3 linked regions of the Coturnix japonica genome follow. The protein of the gene in region 2 binds, or shares a complex with, the protein of the main gene of each other region. Links are inferred from orthologs where the notes say so. Each region holds a gene or a part of one and is shown on either strand. Other genes may lie near its edges.

The links. Proteins that work in one complex are often made in the same cells at the same time.
Region 1: the proteins of EED (region 2) and EZH1 are in contact, whole or in part, in a cryo-EM structure (PDB 7KTP), measured with the Homo sapiens proteins. The link is inferred for Coturnix japonica from reciprocal best matches to the Homo sapiens genes EED and EZH1. Residues at the interface, in NP_003788.2 of Homo sapiens: Cys84, Val85, Asn86, Ser87, Leu88, Lys89, Glu90, Asp91, Trp103, His104, Ser105, Lys106, Glu107, Val112, Arg120, Leu123, Tyr124, Gln129, Gly130, Glu131, Ile132, Arg133, Leu134, Leu135, Gln136, Ser137, Tyr138, Val139, Asp140, Tyr154; in NP_001982.2 of Homo sapiens: Gly37, Ala38, Lys39, Leu41, Tyr42, Val43, Asn45, Phe46, Lys48, Val49, Gln50, Lys52, Thr53, Gln54, Leu56, Asn57, Glu59, Trp60, Leu63, Arg64, Val65, Gln66, Pro67, Val68, Gln69, Ser70, Met71, Cys83, Thr84, Ile85.
Region 3: the proteins of EED (region 2) and JARID2 are in contact, whole or in part, in a cryo-EM structure (PDB 6C23), measured with the Homo sapiens proteins. The link is inferred for Coturnix japonica from reciprocal best matches to the Homo sapiens genes EED and JARID2. Residues at the interface, in NP_003788.2 of Homo sapiens: Pro95, Phe97, Tyr148, Arg306, Asn307, Tyr308, Cys324, Asp362, Ile363, Trp364, Tyr365, Arg414, Asp430; in NP_004964.2 of Homo sapiens: Pro109, Gln114, Arg115, Lys116, Phe117.

What each region holds. Positions count from the first base shown.
Region 1 is NC_029542.1:4,628,438-4,634,710, forward strand, and holds the start of EZH1 (histone-lysine N-methyltransferase EZH1), read right to left. Parts: upstream 4,179-6,273; 5' UTR 3,898-4,178; coding exon 3,851-3,897; intron 3,298-3,850; coding exon 3,177-3,297; intron 3,049-3,176; coding exon 2,920-3,048; intron 2,727-2,919; coding exon 2,607-2,726; intron 2,077-2,606; coding exon 1,956-2,076; intron 1,443-1,955; coding exon 1,269-1,442; intron 924-1,268; coding exon 821-923; intron 571-820; coding exon 407-570; intron 2-406; coding exon 1-1. Other genes in the region: RAMP2 (receptor activity-modifying protein 2), read left to right, coding at 6,248-6,273.
Region 2 is NC_029516.1:170,408,493-170,414,098, forward strand, and holds the end of EED (polycomb protein EED), read left to right. Parts: intron 1-483; coding exon 484-617; intron 618-1,750; coding exon 1,751-1,856; intron 1,857-2,357; coding exon 2,358-2,516; intron 2,517-2,891; coding exon 2,892-2,965; intron 2,966-3,804; coding exon 3,805-3,931; 3' UTR 3,932-4,141; downstream 4,142-5,606. UniProt on the Homo sapiens protein: Polycomb group (PcG) protein. Component of the PRC2/EED-EZH2 complex, which methylates 'Lys-9' and 'Lys-27' of histone H3, leading to transcriptional repression of the affected target gene.
Region 3 is NC_029517.1:67,903,613-67,909,678, reverse strand, and holds the start of JARID2 (protein Jumonji), read left to right. Parts: upstream 1-1,888; 5' UTR 1,889-2,369; intron 2,370-6,066.

The sequences.
Region 1 (6,273 bases), on a different chromosome or scaffold from region 2:
GCTGAAAAAATAAGTTATTTTTACTGTTAGCAACACAAATCTTCTAATAAGAATCTTCCATCACAAAAACAAAGGACAGGGACAGCGCAAGAATGAATACAAGTGTGAGTAGGATGCAGCCCCCAAGAGTATGGAGATCTTAGGAACAGAGAACAAGGTGGATGACATGTTGGCCAAGCCTTCCTTCAACCAGTAATGGGAACTTAGCAGCAAAGAGGGAATACATGGGAAGTAAAATACCACAAAATACCAAAAAATACTCAGCTCCTAAAGGCTCCACTGCACTCTCCAGGGAGCCACCACCCTCTCACAGCTGCAGCACAGACGCCAAGGCCAGGCCAACAGGAGCACAAAGAACAGACAATAACACAGAGAAAAGGAAAGTACCCAGTGAGCCTGCACTTACGATGCAGAAAACAGTCGTATTTGAAGCAGCGCCGGCAGAAGAGCGTGTGGAAGGAGTGCAGGGACTGCTCCCGCTGCACTGACTTTGCACATGGCCCGTCAATATTGGGAGTGCACTGCGGGGGCAGCACGTTCGGATCCGACACCTCTGTGAGCTCTCGGTACCTATTCAACAAACACCCACAGATGTGTATGCTTTCCTAATTTGGGACATTTAACAGGACTTCACGTGACTACAGATCTTATGACTCTGGTTTGGATATCTTTAAGCTAAAACAAAGTTTGTAATACTCAAAAATTGACCTTCCCAGAGTGTCTGAAGCCAAGTGAGCTCTACATGCGCAGCGCTGTTTTCTGAAATGCACGTTTTAACTGCCCCTATCAAAAGTAACAAACAACTTAAGGAGAGATCTACCTCTCTTTCATGTCATCTGGGAAGCCATATTCAGGAAACATAGAAGAAATGGCAGTGAATATCATGTCATTTGGAAACCGTTTCTTGGAACACTTCTTGTTACCTACGGAAAAAAAAGAGATGACTCCTCAGTTACGCTGCACATGAATAGAACTTGCCTTTTTCCTGAGAGTGATTCCAGGTGCTCTGGATTGCAGGTTAAGAGACAGAAATGCAATTACACATAACCTATTGTCTTGAAAGCAGGCTAAAGCACTTCCACATGGTACTCCACTGCTTTCAGAGTAGATAATATATTGATTTCTTAAGGAATATCACCATTTATTTTTACCTGGACAGGATTTACATACATTAGTTTTCTACATCTGCAAGAAGTTCTGGTGTTCCCTCAGGCAAAGTAGGATGCAAACACGACCAACACACGACTAATTTCTGTAGCCAAACCCACCTTCCGCTGCAATTCGTTTTCTTTTTCTTGTGACTGGCAGCTCCTCTTTCCCATCCTCCTGTTTGACTTCAGAATCATTGTGTCCTTCCTCTTCCTCATCTGAGTACTGATTCAGGGCATTCACGAGCTCCAGGAAGACAGCATCACTGATGAGGACTGACCCTGAAATCATTTCTGAAATACAGTGATGTCAGTCAGTCTGTAGGAGGGCCACTGATGTTCTTCAGCCACACAACACAGTTATAAACAAAAACTTTCCTGGTGATTTTGTAGGGACGGGTAGAGTTTTAATGCTCTGGAGCCCTAAGAGTGCTGTAACACTTTTGGAGACCTGAAGATAGCCCATACAACAGAATTTTTTGCTGCACTCCACCCTCTACACAGTTTTATGATGAGCTAGGAAAGCATGCAGACTTTTTGTCTCTGAAAAGCTTCAAGTCATGGCTAGGGTCACAAGTGAAATGACGGTGCTGAACTCCACCTAATCCTGAGTCTAGAACAGAGTGGGGGATCAAAAGCCAAGAGTGCATCCTTATAAACCAGAACTGCAGGCACGCATTTCTGCTTTTCTGCTCTTAGTGCTCTCAGATAAAAGATGGTTACTGCTACCATCTTGTGATTTCTTAACTACTTTGATATCTTACTTGCAAGAAACTGAACTGCTAAGTGTTTCTGCTCCCAAATTACCTTCCTCTCCATGAACTTTCCCATCATAGTTATTAATAAGCTCTTCAATGAAGGTTTCATCCTCTTCCTTCACCTCATCTCCCATGTAAGGGATGTTGCACAGAACAGTTTCATCCTCCACCTGAAAAGCAATTAGATACAATTCAGTAAACTAGCGCTTTCTAATTCCCAGCCAAGCTGTGTCTCTAAGGCTGCTCCCGTCCACTGCATGCAGAAAACACTGCATAAAGCAAATGTTCAGCCTCCCCAGCTCAAATTTCATGTGTCTCACCACTGCCATTTCATTGCTATCCCATTCTATCAGAATAACTCTAACCTCAAAAAATGCATTTGATGTTAAAAAGAAGAGAACAGTATCCAAAGGTTACAGAAACACACACACTGCCAAGAACAATGAAGAGCCAAAAATGTCAAAGTTGTAGTGATTAAGAGAGTAAAACTGGAACAGTGAAGGAGGCAAAACGACAATTCATTCTAGAAGGAATACATCTGAAGCTGAGGAGTGTTTTAGCAGGGAGCAAAAGGGAAAGTTGTGTTGCATGCTTGGAGGGAAAGCACACAACACAACTTTCTACCATGTCTTCCTGAGCAGACATTGCGGTTACACAATAATCTCACAAAGACCTTGCACCAGAGAGTATTCCCACCTACCATGAAGTTCTGCTGAAGGGGGGACCACGAGTACATGATAGGCACCAGCGCCACTGTGTTCAGCGTCCTCATGTACAGTGTCTGGCTTGGAAATCCTGGAAAAATGCTCTCAACTGTACACTAGGGTAGAAGTGAGAAGGACGGTGAGGAAGCAGCCTCTGGGAGATTGTCACCATCACAGAAAGAAACAGCACTTCAGGGCAAACATAGCAAAGGCTGCGTTCACTCACCGTGTTTGACAGTAAAAGCTGTTTTTACCCTGCACCATGAAAGAGTGCTAGGCACAGACTGATACTAACACAGCTCTCCCTACCTGTTTTAGGAAGGGGTGCCCGCTGACTGGCTTCATTAACTGCACTGGTTGAACTCGAAGCTTCTTCCAGTCTTCATTAAGTATTTGAGTCTTTTCATGAACCTTTGCAAAGTTGGCCACAAATAGAGCCTGAAATGAGAGAAAGAAGCACTCACTTCACAGTTCTCATCATGCATCACTCATCTGATAAAAGCTCCAATACTGCAAACTGAAGTCTATAGCAGAGATCATTCCAACCAGAGCCACTGTGTCTTTACCTTTGCTCCCATGTTTGCCTGAAATCTCTTGAGCTGCCGGAGACGCATATATTCAGACTTGACTTTTCTTTTCCAATACATAATACACTTTGATGTTGGAGGAGTGGCGATTTCCATTTTTCTATGAAAATACAGTAAGAATAAACTCACAGAACGATGAGTTAGAAGTGACCTTAAAGCCCCTCCAGCCTCATCCCCTGCCATGAGCTGGGTGCCCCCACCAGCTCAGGCTGCTCAAGGGCCCCACCCAGCCTGGCCTTGGGCACCTACAGCTCTCTGGGCAGTAGTGCCAGGACCTCACCACCTCTGAGGAGTGAATTGCTTCCTCACATCTGACTTAAGCCTGCCCTCTATAGCTTATGGACAGTCCCCCTTGTCTTGTCGCTGTCCAAGCAGCTCTCCTTCCTGCTTGTAATCTTTCGATTCACAGGGCGCTGGGAGGCCAACATGTCAGGAGCAGTGTTACATCCAGCTCAGAATATCTCATTGCCAGGAGGCTGGGAAGGACATTGCGCAGGCTGTCAGCACAGGACAGCTCCTGGCTGGGAATACACAGTGCGACCTGATGGAGAAGTTGGAGCCGGGGGTTTGGGCATCGGGCATCGCCCTGTGAGCCCAAGGGACGCTTCAGCTCCCATCCAGGAGTCTGAGTCCCCGGCCCGGGCTGTACGTACCCAGCGGGCCGCTCCACTCCACCCACGGGGGTTCCCTGGGCCCCCATCACCGCAGCCTCCAGCCACGAGGGGACACGGGGACCCCCGGTGGCTGCCGGGACGGTGACACTGCGGAGTGTCCGGGACAGGCCTCAGCCGCTGCCCCGCCCGGTGCCCGCTCCCAGGCCTCACCCAACCCCCGGGCGCTGCCCCGTCCATCGGGCCCGGCGCACCCCATACAACAGCCCACGGTCCCACGGGGCCCCACGGGGCCTCAGGGGACTTAGATCTGCCCCCTACGAGCAGCCGCCAGCCCCCACAGGGCACGGCACTACCACGGCACTACCACGGCACTACCACGGCACTACCGCCCCGCTCCATCCCCCACCCCCGCCGACCCCTCGCTCCCTCCCGGGCCCCTCCCGCCGTGCCGGGCCGCCCCCCGCCCCCCGCCGGACCCCAGGCCCCGCCCCGCCCCGCACTCACTCCTCGGCCATCGCGCCGGGGGAGGCCGCGCTCCCCGCGCACTGCGCATGCGCCGCCGTAGCCCCGCCCCTCGCCGCCGCCCCGCCCCGCGCGGTGCAGCCCCGGAGCTGCGGCTCCGACCGGGAAGGGCGGCGCCCCGCACCGGAACCGGCCGCTCGCGGCCCGGCCCCGCCCGGCTCCACTCGGCTCCGCCCGGCCCCGCTCTGCTCGGGGCTGCGGCCGGGCGCTCCCTTCCCCAGCCGCGCTCCCGGCCGGGCCCCTTCCTTCCTTCCTTCCTTCCTTCCTTCCTTCCTTCCTTCCTTCCCCTCCGCCCAGCCGGAAGGAGCGGGGGGAACCCGCGGGTCCCTGTCCGGGCAGTGAGCGGGGCCGTTGGCTGCTCATCCCACAGCTCAGCCCCGGTCCTGGCCGTATCTGCTGCCTTTGAGCCCGTCCTGCTGAGTCGGGCAGAACCTTCCGCCTTCCCTGACATTGGGTTGAGCGCGGGTGGAAGGTGCCGAGATGAGCTCGGTGATACGCCCCGGCACGGGGGGAAGCTGCAGCCGGTGGGAAGATGCTCGTCGGGGCTGCGGCTCCTGCTCCCACTACCGGCAGAACCTGGGGTCTGGGTTGGACCCAGCGCAACCCCCGCAGCCTCACTGCCCACACTGCGCTGAGCCCCAGAGCGCAACGTGGGCAGCTGCAGAGCGAGTCAAAGCAGCAGGCGGGGTCCAGGCTGCGTCTGTGCCCGTTGTGCCATGGGCCGAGGCTGGCAGCAGGGCTCGGGACGGCTGCAGCCCAGCCCAGAACATGGGAAATGCTTCCCCCGCTGCTCAGTCGAGTCCCCCTCACAGCACTGCAGCCAAGGGCTGGGGGGAGCTTGCAAAATGGGGCTGGGGAGCAGTGGGTGCTGGCAGACTGCCCCGGCTGTGCAAGGAGTGGCCGGCTGAGATCACCGGGTGTCACCCTGGCAGAGGCTCCTGCTGCCGGCTGCAGCTCCAGGGCTGTGACAACAAAGTGCAGAATGGGGCTGTGACTTTGTGCCGCAGCCTCGTGGGCTCCCGGTACCGCTGAAGGGCTCCCAAGTGCCAGGAGGGTGGCGGCTGCCTCAGCCTGCACATAGCACGTGCAGTGTGTTGCAGCAGGAATGTGCAGCACAGCAATAGAATCCTTCCAAAGCAGGGAGGGTCCCCATGAACTGCAATTCTCTGCTGTGTGATTTGTGCTCTGTGAGTCCCATGAGTGGATTTTAAAGGGAAAGCTTTGGGCTGGAGCTCAGCCTTTGGCAAGCAGTTAGATGAGCTCGCGTGGCCTGAGCTCCATCCCCGGGTGGGGACCCTGCAGAGCCAGCACCGCGCTGCCCTGAGGTGGGAGCCGAGGTGGCACGGGATGAAGAGGAGCTCTGCAGCCACAGTCCCTCGCCCCATCCTCTCCTCCTGCCTGCTTGAGGCTCGCACACCCGTGGTACCGCCGCCGTCCCTTCCAGCCCCACCCGTGCCCCCGGGGCAGGTGCCACACGGCGCCATGAACACGGGGCTGGGGCCGTAACGACCCCGAGCCTCCAGCAGAACCCTCCGGGGACGTCCTGCTCCACCGTCCACTCCCCCCGCTGCCGGGCTGCCTGCCCTCCACGCAGGAGACGAGGGATTTCACAACCCAGCCCAGACAGGATTAAAGAGAAATACACAAGTAAACAAACAGCGGCCTTGTGAAGCGGCCGTGCTGCGGGAGCCCCTCTGCTGCCCAGGGTGAGGTGTGGGGCGATGCCCGGGGGTCCGACACTTGCTGCACAGCGGTGGGGTCCTGTGGGGAGGGCTGCCTCAGAGCAGCACTAAGTAATCTCATTTTTCACACGTCTCCTGTAGTTCAAACAGCCCCTGTCAGAGGAAAGGAGTTGCTTCCTGTTATTTCCATTGAAATCCTTGTCCCGGTCGCTAGCCCGCAGGCTCCAGCAGGATGGCACCGTATGCGCAGATGGGCTC
Region 2 (5,606 bases):
AAGTTATGCTGCTTTTCAGTGGCTACAAACAGATGCTGGTACCCAGTAAATACTGACTAGAGCAGCTGACTTTTAGCACACTTTTCATAACAGTTGTTTCCTTTTCTGTTGTGGGATTTGAATGGTGAGATATATATTTATTCAAGACCTGATGCTGTGTTCTCTTGTAGTCATATCCATACAGTAGCTCTGGAGTTGTGTCAGGATTCCTCTATAAAATGAAACCTAGGAAACTGACTAAAAGGGAGCACTAGCAGTAGATTTGTTGTTTGTCGGTGCTGCTGAATATGCCTCTGTTGATAGGGAGTAACTGTGGTTATTAAGAGATCGTGTTTCTTTGCAGTTAGTGAGATTAACTTATATGCAGTTTTTATTGCATTCTTTACACAGAAAAAGCTGTTTTGATGGAAATGTTTGCATAAAATCTGAGTTGATATAATGCAGCTTAGGCTGGGGGTGCTCAAAATCATTTCATACACATAGGATTATGATCTTCTTGGTGAAAAAATCATGTCTTGTGGAATGGATCACTCTCTCAAACTTTGGAGAATTAATTCCAAGAGAATGATAAATGCCATCAAAGAGTCTTATGAGTACAACCCAAATAAAACAAACAGGTATGTAGTCTTCATCTTCTTGGCTTTCTGGGGTTCTTTTTAAAGATTTTAAAATAAAAACTCTCATCAATGGCCCAGATTCATTCCTGTAGACATTGGAAGTTCTTGGAGATAGTGACCTGGGGATTGTGCTTGACATTGAATCTCTTTTGAAGATCTCTCTTCTTGTTGTTTGCTTCAGTAGAACTTCATTAAATTTCATTAACATTCCTACCACTTTTATTTTTGAATATCTTAATTACATCTTCATTATTTACTTGAGTAGGGAACGTCTGGGTTTATCATCTTTATCAGTCTTAAAGCTTGTATTACATCATGTTTTAAGATGTGTCAGTGCCTTTTTTCTTCCCACTTCCAAATTTCTAGGAGGGAATCCAATTATTAAACGTAGTAAGCAATTGAGTTTTATATTGTGTAGTTATCTCTAATTATTGAATTTGTTATCTGTCTCAGGGGCTGGAAAAAGACAACTCCTTATGTAGTATTAACTTTAATTTTTGTCATTGTCCTATCTGACTTCAGATTCACATAAATTGTCAGTTAAATACAGTGGTTAGTTATATGATAGATAAATTTCTCCTGACGAAGTTCATCAACTCTTTAATCTTAACTTCCAGTTAAACCATTGAGAGAATTGAAGAGTCTAAAACACACTGAACGTGTTCAGCAATGAGACTAGCTGTGAAAATGCTCTCGCTTTTTTTGGTAATGTTACCAAATATTAAATGATGCTTAAAAAAAAAAAAAAAGTAAAAATATTTCTTTTTTTTTATTGTGCTTTTCTGTTTAACAGTCTAGATGTTGCAAAATAAGCATCAGGAAGGTGGAGGTTTAATTAGTTCTTGAGGTACTTAGCAATGGGAGCTGTGCGCAGTTTCTGAAGGAGTGGTATTGCTTTGGTACAGTCTTTTATAATCAAGCATTTGGGAAAGTAAATTATTTCAGTAGAAATGAGATGAAAATGGACAGTTCCCATTTTAGGGGACAAAATCTACTTTGCAGCAAAACTGTTAAAAGATCAAAAAAGACAGACCTGTCCTTTTATCATTGAAATATATTAAAACTGGTCATTGAAAATTAGGCTTGTATTTCAGTGTTTCCCTGAATCTTACATGGCTGTTTTTTTTCCATAGACCTTTTATTTCCCAGAAAATCCACTTTCCTGACTTTTCTACAAGAGACATACATAGGAACTATGTTGACTGTGTACGATGGTTGGGTGACCTAATTCTTTCCAAGGTAAAGTGCAAGCTTTTTCAGCTACCTTGCTTTTATTTGCTTTTTTAGGCTCTTAAACAGTAGTAGTTTCACTAGAATACGAATTGTAGGTTAACTTATTATGCTGCATGAAATGATTTTATGTTAAAGATTTTGGTGTCTGTTTGCATGTGTAGATAAGCAGCTTTTACATCAAAAGTAAAATGAGTTCAGTGGTCAGAACTGTGCTAGAAGTAGCAACATGTCAACTACCCGTGTTCTGCATGAGGAGTACAGAAAGAGAATGAATATATAGTTACTCATGTAGGGTCCTGCAGCTGAAAGGAGAAATGAGGATTCATGCAATGGAGTTCCTTGGATTTGTGTGATAACACTAGCACTGCTTGCTCGGAGACATTAAACTACATGGTGGCATTGCATCTTTGGCAGAAATTGGTGCATGTGTGTTCTCCTAAAACTGAATGTTGTACGCTTTTTGTTGTTGTTCATTGTTTTTTTTTGGTTTTTTTTTTTCCTCCCTAGTCTTGTGAAAATGCCATTGTGTGCTGGAAACCTGGCAAAATGGAAGATGATATAGATAAAATCAAGCCAAGTGAGTCAAATGTGACCATACTTGGGAGATTCGATTACAGCCAGTGTGATATATGGTACATGAGGTTTTCAATGGATTTCTGGCAAAAGGTATGTGTGAGCTTGGACCTTGCTGTCCCTGAAGGTGTGTAGCCCTTCATTTATTCCATGTTTCTGTGTATGGGAAGTTTTGGTACCTGTGATGTGGTGTCTGAGTAGCAGAATGGTCTGCTGCAAGTGGTTTTATGGGAAACTGTTACGTTTATTGGTATCTTCCTCCTCTATCTGCAGAGGTAGATAACAATAATATGGGAGAAAGTAAGCAAATTATTTAGGATTTCCAACCACTTCATCAAACTTGTTAAGCAATTAATGTTCAAACATGTAAACATAACTGTAGAGTCTTCATTAAAGTTTGAGTTTTATGAGTTTCATGTCTTTTGAATAATACTGTAAGACTTCTCTATCCTCTGCTTTCTTTTTAAGATGCTTGCTCTTGGCAATCAGGTTGGCAAACTTTACGTTTGGGATTTAGAAATAGAGGATCCTCATAAAGCCAAGTGAGTACTTAATGCTCAGTTTTCTTTTTGTTGAGACAGGAATTTGGGGAACTTTCCTCTTTCTTTTACTGATAACTACTGATATTCTTAAACAGTGGTAGCCACTCTTACTACTAGGTAATTAAATGTTCTGAGCCCCTGGAGGTTACTTATTTGCTCTTCCATTCTATTATTCACATTACAATAGTGCCAAGAGGTACCAATCAAATTGTGTTGAGCAGTGTATGAAGATAAAGTGAAAGGATGCATCTTCCTCCAGTTGCTTGCACACTGATTAGGTAGATTTATGGAGCAATTAGGAGGAATAGATGGAAGGACTAGAGTAATGAGGGTACAAAGGTTAGCTATGAGCACAACCTGAAGGAAACAATATGGCTTTTCAGTTTCTTGCCTGCGTGGCCAGGTAATTTTATTGCATGTTTGAACACATGTACAGTATATTTGTGTACATCCAGTAATGCCTGTGTGTGCATATGTGAAAATACAGACACTCATATACAAAATTGCTGAAAAAAGCTGCAGTCTTGAATTGCCCAGTGGCCATATTTTACTCCAAACAACTGGAAAAGAACATTGATTACAAAGTCCTAAATAACACAGTTCAATAAGATTTTAATCAGTGCTTCTGTGAAAATTGGGTGGATGAGAATTGGCAGTGGGTGAACCAGACATCAGTGCTTTCCCAAGTCCAAATTTGGAATACAGAATACACTGTGATATAATCCTGCTACCTTCTGAATTCAAGGTCGCATAAGTATTTGGTGAAACAGCACTCCATAATGTAGTAGCAGCAAGTGCAGGTTTAACATTGCAGCTGAATAATTTTCTTTTATTTATAGGTGTACGACTCTTACTCATCCTAAATGTGTTGCTGCCATTCGACAAACCAGTTTTAGCAGGGATAGTAGTATCCTTATAGCTGTGTGTGATGATGCCAGTATCTGGCGCTGGGACAGACTACGATAAGTTACTTTTTCTTAATTCAAAGTAGAAAATATATATTTTCAGATTATAATATAGTCTGTTAACTTGCTAGTACAGTAGATGCGTTTAGCGTAGACTTTTCTCAAAGGTTCAGCAGGCTGGAGCTGAACTTAGTGATGTTTACATTCTGTGTATTGTTCTGCTTGAACTTTTGCTGCTTTCAATAAAAAGAAGTATTTTTGTAAAGTTTTCTGAATTGTCCATTTTAATTATTTACCTCAATAAGCTTTTGGTTATGGCCCATGGAATTGCTCTACGTACAGCTAGTGTGTAAATACGTAGTAACTTGCTTGACACTTTGTGTGTGTGCTTGAAGCTCTATTCATCCTTTTTTATGCTGACTAGAAACGTAGTGAAGCTATTGAATATCATCCAGGGATAAAACATTTGTGTGTGCATAATTGAAACGTTAATGCTTGTGTGCTGTGTAAGTAGTCTAAGATGTTGCAGAATAATTGTGTGAACAGTGGGACTGTTTAGTAACTGTATTTACTAAAGATTAACCATCTAGGGCTCCTTTTTCCTACTGTTCTCTTATCCTTTACCCTAACATTTTAATGGAAAAGAATACATTAGGGTATTACATACATATAAGTACAGTCTTTGGCAACATATTAGTGCTTTTTTTTTATTGAATTAAGGAGATAAATAGTTCTGTCTCCTACTGACTTTTCAAGAATATACTGATCTGGATTTTATCTTTCAGGATATTGCATTTGCCTCTGCGTTCCAGTTTGGGAAGCTCATAAATTCTCTGTGTAGGTGGCCTACCTGTTCAGCTTGAAATGGTATTGACTAAGCTTGTACTTAGAAATTGGCAGAACAATGAGACCTGGAGCTGGCAAGTAGTTTGCAAGCGTTAGTCTGTAACATATGATTAATTCCCCCTTATAGAAAAGAAAAAATATATATATATTGTTCTTATTCCTGGAGAACAGATGTAATACCTTTGTAGCAAAATAAACTGATGAGGGGAAAGATGACAAGTGAGACTGGAGGTTTTAATCTCTAGTTCATCTGAACTGCTAGCACAGCATGAACTAGCACTTAGGTGGCAGCAGCAGTGTGGGCCTGTGTATCTCATGTGTGTGGGCCTGGTAGTGTGAAAAGCTGTAGGAGAGGAGAATTGAGTTGGAGAGGACTCCAAAAAGGCTGTGGGAATACTCAGGCTTTCTCCGGATGAGCTAAACCCTATTCAGAACATAATGTTGGAAACTGATAGCATTGAGTGTTTGCAAATGTTGAAAGTGAAAAAGGACACAAAAGCAGTTGTGACTTTCAACGGTGGTTGTTTGTTATATTTTAAGTTGCATGTTCTTACCAATGAGCTATTCTGTTTTTGACAGGAAGGAAAGGTGGTACTTAAATAAAGCCCTAAATACAATTAGGGGTGGCTTCAGCTTTAATCAACTCATAATATTCTGATAACTGTTCTCTTAAAATGGAGGAAAATGTTCTAAGAGGTTTCCTTTGGAATGTGATTTAGGGTTGGGTCCCGTTTGGTGGGGGCTCTTTGTTCTTTGAAGTGCAGCGTCAGTGCTATTGCTGTATTTACCATTTCTTCCCTGTAGTGGGACTGGACTCAGTTTCTTTCAGAGTCATAGAGCTGCTCGCTCTTGGGACACAGCAAACAAATGTCAGAGCTAATTAACTTTGT
Region 3 (6,066 bases), on a different chromosome or scaffold from region 2:
GACCATTTTTGCCTCTTCTGTTTTCCTAAGAAGTCTCCAGGAGATAGAGACTCATCATTCTTAACTGCAGAAAACCTGAGATGGAAGTGCTTTGTTCTATATACGTCCCAGGCCTTCAAGCTACACGGATATCATCATAAAAATCAATGAGGGCAGAAAGTTGGAGAATACTAGGAGAATTTGTCATATTTTCTATTTAAATGAGCTATAGATCTCTCTTCATAAAGACTCTTGGACACAATGTGCATTTTCTTAGAGGAGGCCTACAGAAAAGTCTTCAAAAGATGAACACGATTACCATTAAGGCTTGACAACAGATGAGGCCGAGCACGGCTTAACTACTTTCTAAGAAGACTAAAAAAAATGTCTAAAGTAATTAGTAATACAAAGAAACAAAATGAAAATAAGGATATTTCCCTCTCTAATCTGCCCTATGAGGTCCCATCTAGAGTACTGTGTCCAGCACAAGAAAGATACTGAGCTGTTGGTGGTCCAGAGGAGGGCCAGGAAGATGATCCAAGGGCTGCAGGACTTCTATGAAGACAGGCTGAGGGAGCTGAGCATGGTCAGCTTGTAGAAGGCTGCAGTGAGGTCTTCCTGCAGCCTTCCAGCAGAACATAAAGCACACTTGGAAACCTGCATTTGGGGAGCAGGGATGAGCACCTGTAGTAGCACATAAACGTATTTAGAGTTATACACCAGCTGCGTTCCCTCACTTTGCACTGAGTTGCACTGCAAAGCACCAATAACACACAGCAGCTTTCCTAACACCTCACCAGGAAGCCATCGCTGCTCCCTCTATTCGCGATACCCCCTTCCCAAAGCTCTACGCCGTGTCTGAAGACACACGGTTCTCCTCGCGTCCAGTTCTCCCATAGCTTTTATTGACACTGCCGTTCCGACTCACACCCCATCGAACCACCCCGGCGGCAGCTGGACACACGGGGCCGGCGGCGATGAGCAAAGAGCCGGGGCAAAGAGACAGCGGTACCACAGCACGCTCGACCCCTCGGGCCTCTTTCAGCAGCCCAGACACATGAGTCCCGGCGGGCTCACACGGCGCCGAGCTGTCCTCCGCTCCCCTCCGGCAATAAACTTCCCTCCTCTTTCTCCACCTCCTCCTCCCGCACCCCCGAGAGCAGCAGGGAGGGAAGAAGGGAAGCAGGCACACAGGAGGGGGAAACCAAGTGCGGAAGGAGAGGAGGGGGGGCGTAGCAAGCACGCCGGGAGGTGTAGTTTTTGCCGGTCGCCATTTTGTGGTGAGGGAACTACAACTTTCCCGACAGCGAAGGGACCGTTCTCAGGCTCCAAGCCGAGCAACACCGGTCGAGCCGGGCCGGAGCGGGGGCTGGCAGCGCCGCACGGCCAAGGCTCGAGGAGAACGTAGCCGGGAGCCGAGCAGAGGGACAACCCCAGGCGGCAGGAGGCGGGGCGGGGCGGGGAGCGAGGAGGGCGGCCGCGCGGTGAGGGAGCGTCGCCAAGTTGCATTGGCGTTGCAGTGTATACACATAAGGCGGTGAGGGCGGCGTTGCGGTTAAAGCCCGGTTGGGAGTTGCGTGCGAGCCCTAAGCGCTGCCCGTCGGTGTGTGCGTGTGCGTGTGCCTGTCTGTGTGTATATATACACACGCGCGCGCACACGCAGACATATATATTAAAAAAAAAAAAAAAAAAAAAGGAAAAAAAAAAATAAAGCCTCAGGTCCATTTAAAGTTGCAGCCGGAGCGCAGCGCTCATTGGCTCGGGGGGAGCCGGAGGAGCACACGGGGCGAGCAGCCCGCACCGCGACGAGTTGTGCCGGCGCCGCCGCCGCAGCAGCAGCAGCAGCAGCAGCAGCAGCCCCGCCGCCGCCGCCGCCCGCCTCCCCGCGCCTCCTCCAAGATGTAAGGCGGCCCCGGCGCCACGGACCTGCAGGCGGAGGGAAGGGGAGAGCAAGGGCGTCGCTTTCCAGAGCCGAGAAAGGAAGGAGGAGGAAAAGGGGGGGTGGGGGGGGTTGTTTCGTCGTGACCATGTCTCGCTGAAGTGATTTTTGTATTATTACTATTTTTCCCTTCGCATCCGATTTTTTTTTTTTTTTTTCTTCTTTTTTTTTTCCATCCCCGCACCTCGGATTTATTGCTACGAGGATCACATTGTGCGGGGAAGAAAGTGGGATTACGGAGACCGCCGCGAGCAGCCCTCCCTCCTTCCCTCCCTCCCCCCTCCGAGGATTTTTCGGTATTTTATTTTCTATTTTATTTTATTATTTCTATTTTTTTTTCCGAATCGCCTCGGCCGTAATTCATGAAGCAATCGTCCCTTTTTGCGATCACAATTTGGATACCAGAATGAGCAAAGAAAGACCCAAGAGGAATATAATTCAAAAGAAATACGTAAGTCCCCGATCCCTTCTCCTTTCTCGCTTGACTCTCCGCGCTTTTAGGAAATGGCAGCGAACGTCAACTTCGGGGCCGGTGAAGGAGGGGGGGGGGGGGTGAGACGGCCGCGCTGGGCTCCGGGCAGCGCTGACCTCAGGTGACACAACACGGCGACGGGGAACGCCGACCCGCCGGGTCCCGTCGGATCCCGGAGGATCCCACGTTATTAACCCGCCTGCGGAACGGGGCGCTGCGGGAGGACCCGGCGTCGCCTTTTTAATGCGGCCGCCGATTGTCTCCGCCGGGCACACGGGGATGTCCGCGGCCCCGCTGCGTTCGGGAGCGGCCCAGCATCCAGCGCAGCGGCAGCGCGGCCCCAAAAAGCCCCACGGCCCTAAAAAGCCCCACGGCCCCCGGTGTGGGGCAGCAGGGTCCGCGTGTATGTCTGTGTAGTGGCACGGCAAAAGTTGCGCTCCCGCAGCGCGGCCCCGGGTGCCTCCCCGGGACCCCCCCCCTCCTCCAGCAGCCCGGGGCCGGCGGTCGAGGCGAAGACATCCGCATTGCGGAGGGAGCGGGGCTGCCCCCGCCGCCGGCTGCGGGACACGGGGCGGACAAAGCGGAGCGGGGCGGGGGGTGCTCCGGATCCCGGCCCGAAGGGCACACGGGGCGTTGGGGGCAGCGCGGTGTGTGCGTGCTCTCAACTTGCAACTTCTCTCCTGCAAGCCAAATCATTCCTTTTTTTCCTCCCAGTTTATTTATTTATTCCCCCCCACTCCCACTTTTTTATCCTTTGATTTCCTCCCCTTTCATTTTCACGTTTCCCTTTCATTTCCACACGTATTTCCCCGTGTGTATTTTTTTTTTTTTTCTCCTTTTATTGACATCCCCGCTGCGGGGCGGGCGGGCGCTCAGCCGCCGGCAGCAACCTGTTGCCGGGGCTGTGACGAAGCCCCACGGCTGTCGGCCACGCCGCAGCCGCCTCCTCCTCCTTCCTCCTTCTCCTCCTCCTCCTCGCCGCCGCCGCCCGGCCAGGTTCGCCCCGCGGCCGTGTCGTCACAAAGGGAAGGGCCTACGCGCCGTGGAAGCTTCGTCGGCTCAGCGTTCCGTCGTGACGTCGTAGCCGAGGCGGGGCGGGGGAGATGGGGGAAGGCCCCGGGGCGGCGCGGGGTGGGGGCGGCCCCAGGTGTGAGCAGGTGCGGGGATGTACGGAGTCATCCTGCCCGGCCGGCTTAGCACCGCGTGGGGACGAGCTCCAGGCCGTCAGGTGCCACGCAGGGGTTTTTGTTGTCTGCAGGTGGCTGCCAGCCCACCCTGCCCTACCCGAGTCCAGGCACAAGCCGTGGAGCCCTTGGTGTGGGGTGGCTGTGGAGCAGAGCACTAACCCACACTGATAGAGCAGGGGACCATTCTGGGGTATGTAAACCCCCCCCTCCCCCAGCTCCACTCAATGCAGCTCCATCGCATGGCATGCCCTGTTCTACCAGGACCTTTGGGTAGTGTCATGCTGCTGCCCTTTTTGAGCATAGCCTTCTCAGGTCTGTGGTGTGTGCGAAGCGAATCCCCAAAGCAGAAAGATGATGAGAAAAATGGGGTGATTTGCCATCCTCACTCACTGCGGTTATGAGAAGTTCCCCTGCTTTGCCATGAGGGGTTATGAGAAGTTCCCCAAAACTCTGCGTGGCCCTCCCAGCTGATAACCCATGAATGTGGAAATGTGTGAATGCTTCTTTTCTGTTGTTATTTTTTCCTCTTTTTTCTGCTCCTTAAAAACACGATCGTTCTGCTTTTAAAAGAGCTGTGGCTGACTCATTCACATCTTGCTTCATCCTCCTCCTTCTCAAACATCTTTACATATCAAATATTGCCTTTTGGCTCCAGCCTCAGAAAGCTGACAGCTTTGTAAAGCATCACCTGAGAAGCCAGACTGCATTTGGTATGCGCTCAGAATTAATAGTTCTTAAACGGGAAGCTTTGAAGTCTCGACTGTAATTTCACAGGTGTGTGTTTTTTGTGCTGTCACAGAGCGCATCGTCTGTTCTTCCCTCCCTGGGCCTCTGCGCATTGAGGTCTGGATGACTGTCCCAACCTGCCTGCCCGGCTCTGCCAGGGGAACAGATGGCAGAATGCCACTGAGGAGAGGTATCCTGACTATCCCCTTGTGTACCTCCCCCTCATCCCTTCTGAGGTGTTGCGTGGTGATGCACGTAGCCTTGGTGTGGCCTATAAGCAGAGCCACCTATCTGCCTACTTGAGGTGGGGCGAGCACTGCCTGCCTCACATAGTGCTTGATAAATCGTTCATAGCTGTGTCCTTAGGGTCCTGTGAGCGGCACCCTCGCTGGTTATATCCAACATGAAGCCAAGTGGCACTGCTGGGCCCTGGCACTGGGGCGTGGGGTCCCCTTGGAGCTGGAGCACAGTGACCACGTGGCAGCAACCCCAAGCAGGGGATGTATGTGTGCCCCAGGGCTTCCCTGTGGTGTGGGGTTCTCTTGTTTCCCACAGCCTGCAGCGCCTGCCTCACACCAACATGAGTTCTGAGTGAGGCCATTTCCTACAAGAAATGACATAAATCCACCTCTGAGTGTGGGTAGAAGCATCCTGGTTCAGTGTGCATTGTGTTTTGTTTCAGTAACTTTAAGAAGCCTTTTTGTTTTTGGGCTGACAGACAGCCCCAGCACTGCACCCCTTCCAGCACTGTAGCACACTGAACTCATTTCTTTTTAGATACGTGTGTATCTTGAGCTCACGGTGTGTGGATGCTGGCCACTGTCGAGATCCGAGTTTGCATTCCTCTTAACCTCCTGCTGGCCTCTTGAGACTAAAGCATTATGTTGTGCATGACAGCACGTAACCAGAAAACTAGTAATTCCAAGTTGTTTTTTTTGTTTTTAATTTATAGCAAACGTTTACATTTAGCTGTCAACAAACGCTCTGCACTGAAATACCCAATAGGATCCTGTTTGCTCTGACAGACTGTGAGCCAGGAGATGCTGTCCAGAGTGAATTATAGCGAATCAAGGCCCCTGTGAAGACTTTCTAATGTTCATTAAGCACTCTCACCTTCTCTTATGAGGCCTACTAAGCCAGTATTAAAAATATATTACCCATACCCTTCCTGTAGATGTAGAATAACTGTTAATGCGGTGCACGTTAAAGGGTGGTATGAACGTCAGCTCATTTTGCAGTGTAGCCGAGTTCCCTCCATTTTATTGTTTGATGAAACAGAAAGAGGTCTAAATTACTTGCCTGCAGCTATGAGCTGTAACAGCGGCAGCGATGGAACTGATCTCCTTCTGCAGCCTGGTCCAATATTGTCTCGTGTAGCTTTTGGGCTCTTGCTATGAGGCATGGCATCTGCTCTACAGAGACTGCTTGATGTGGTTCAGACTTTCTTCAAGACTTTTTTTTCCCCCCTAATTATGGTCCTGACTGTTAGATTAGCAGGGCATTTTGAACATAATGAAGAAAAAAGAAAACATTTATATGTGGGTACTTTTTAAAGTGATGATTGTACCCTGCAGCTGATGGGGACCAGTTGATACAGTGATGACTCAGCTGCGGGAGCATTAAAGTAGGTCAATTTCAATATCCCATCGACAGAAACTAAGGAGACTCCAGGTTGAAAAGTGGTATTTTGTTTATGCACGTCACTGGTATTTCCTAGTTTGAACATAACTGGGAGCTCATAAGGAGAAGAGAAATACAGGCTT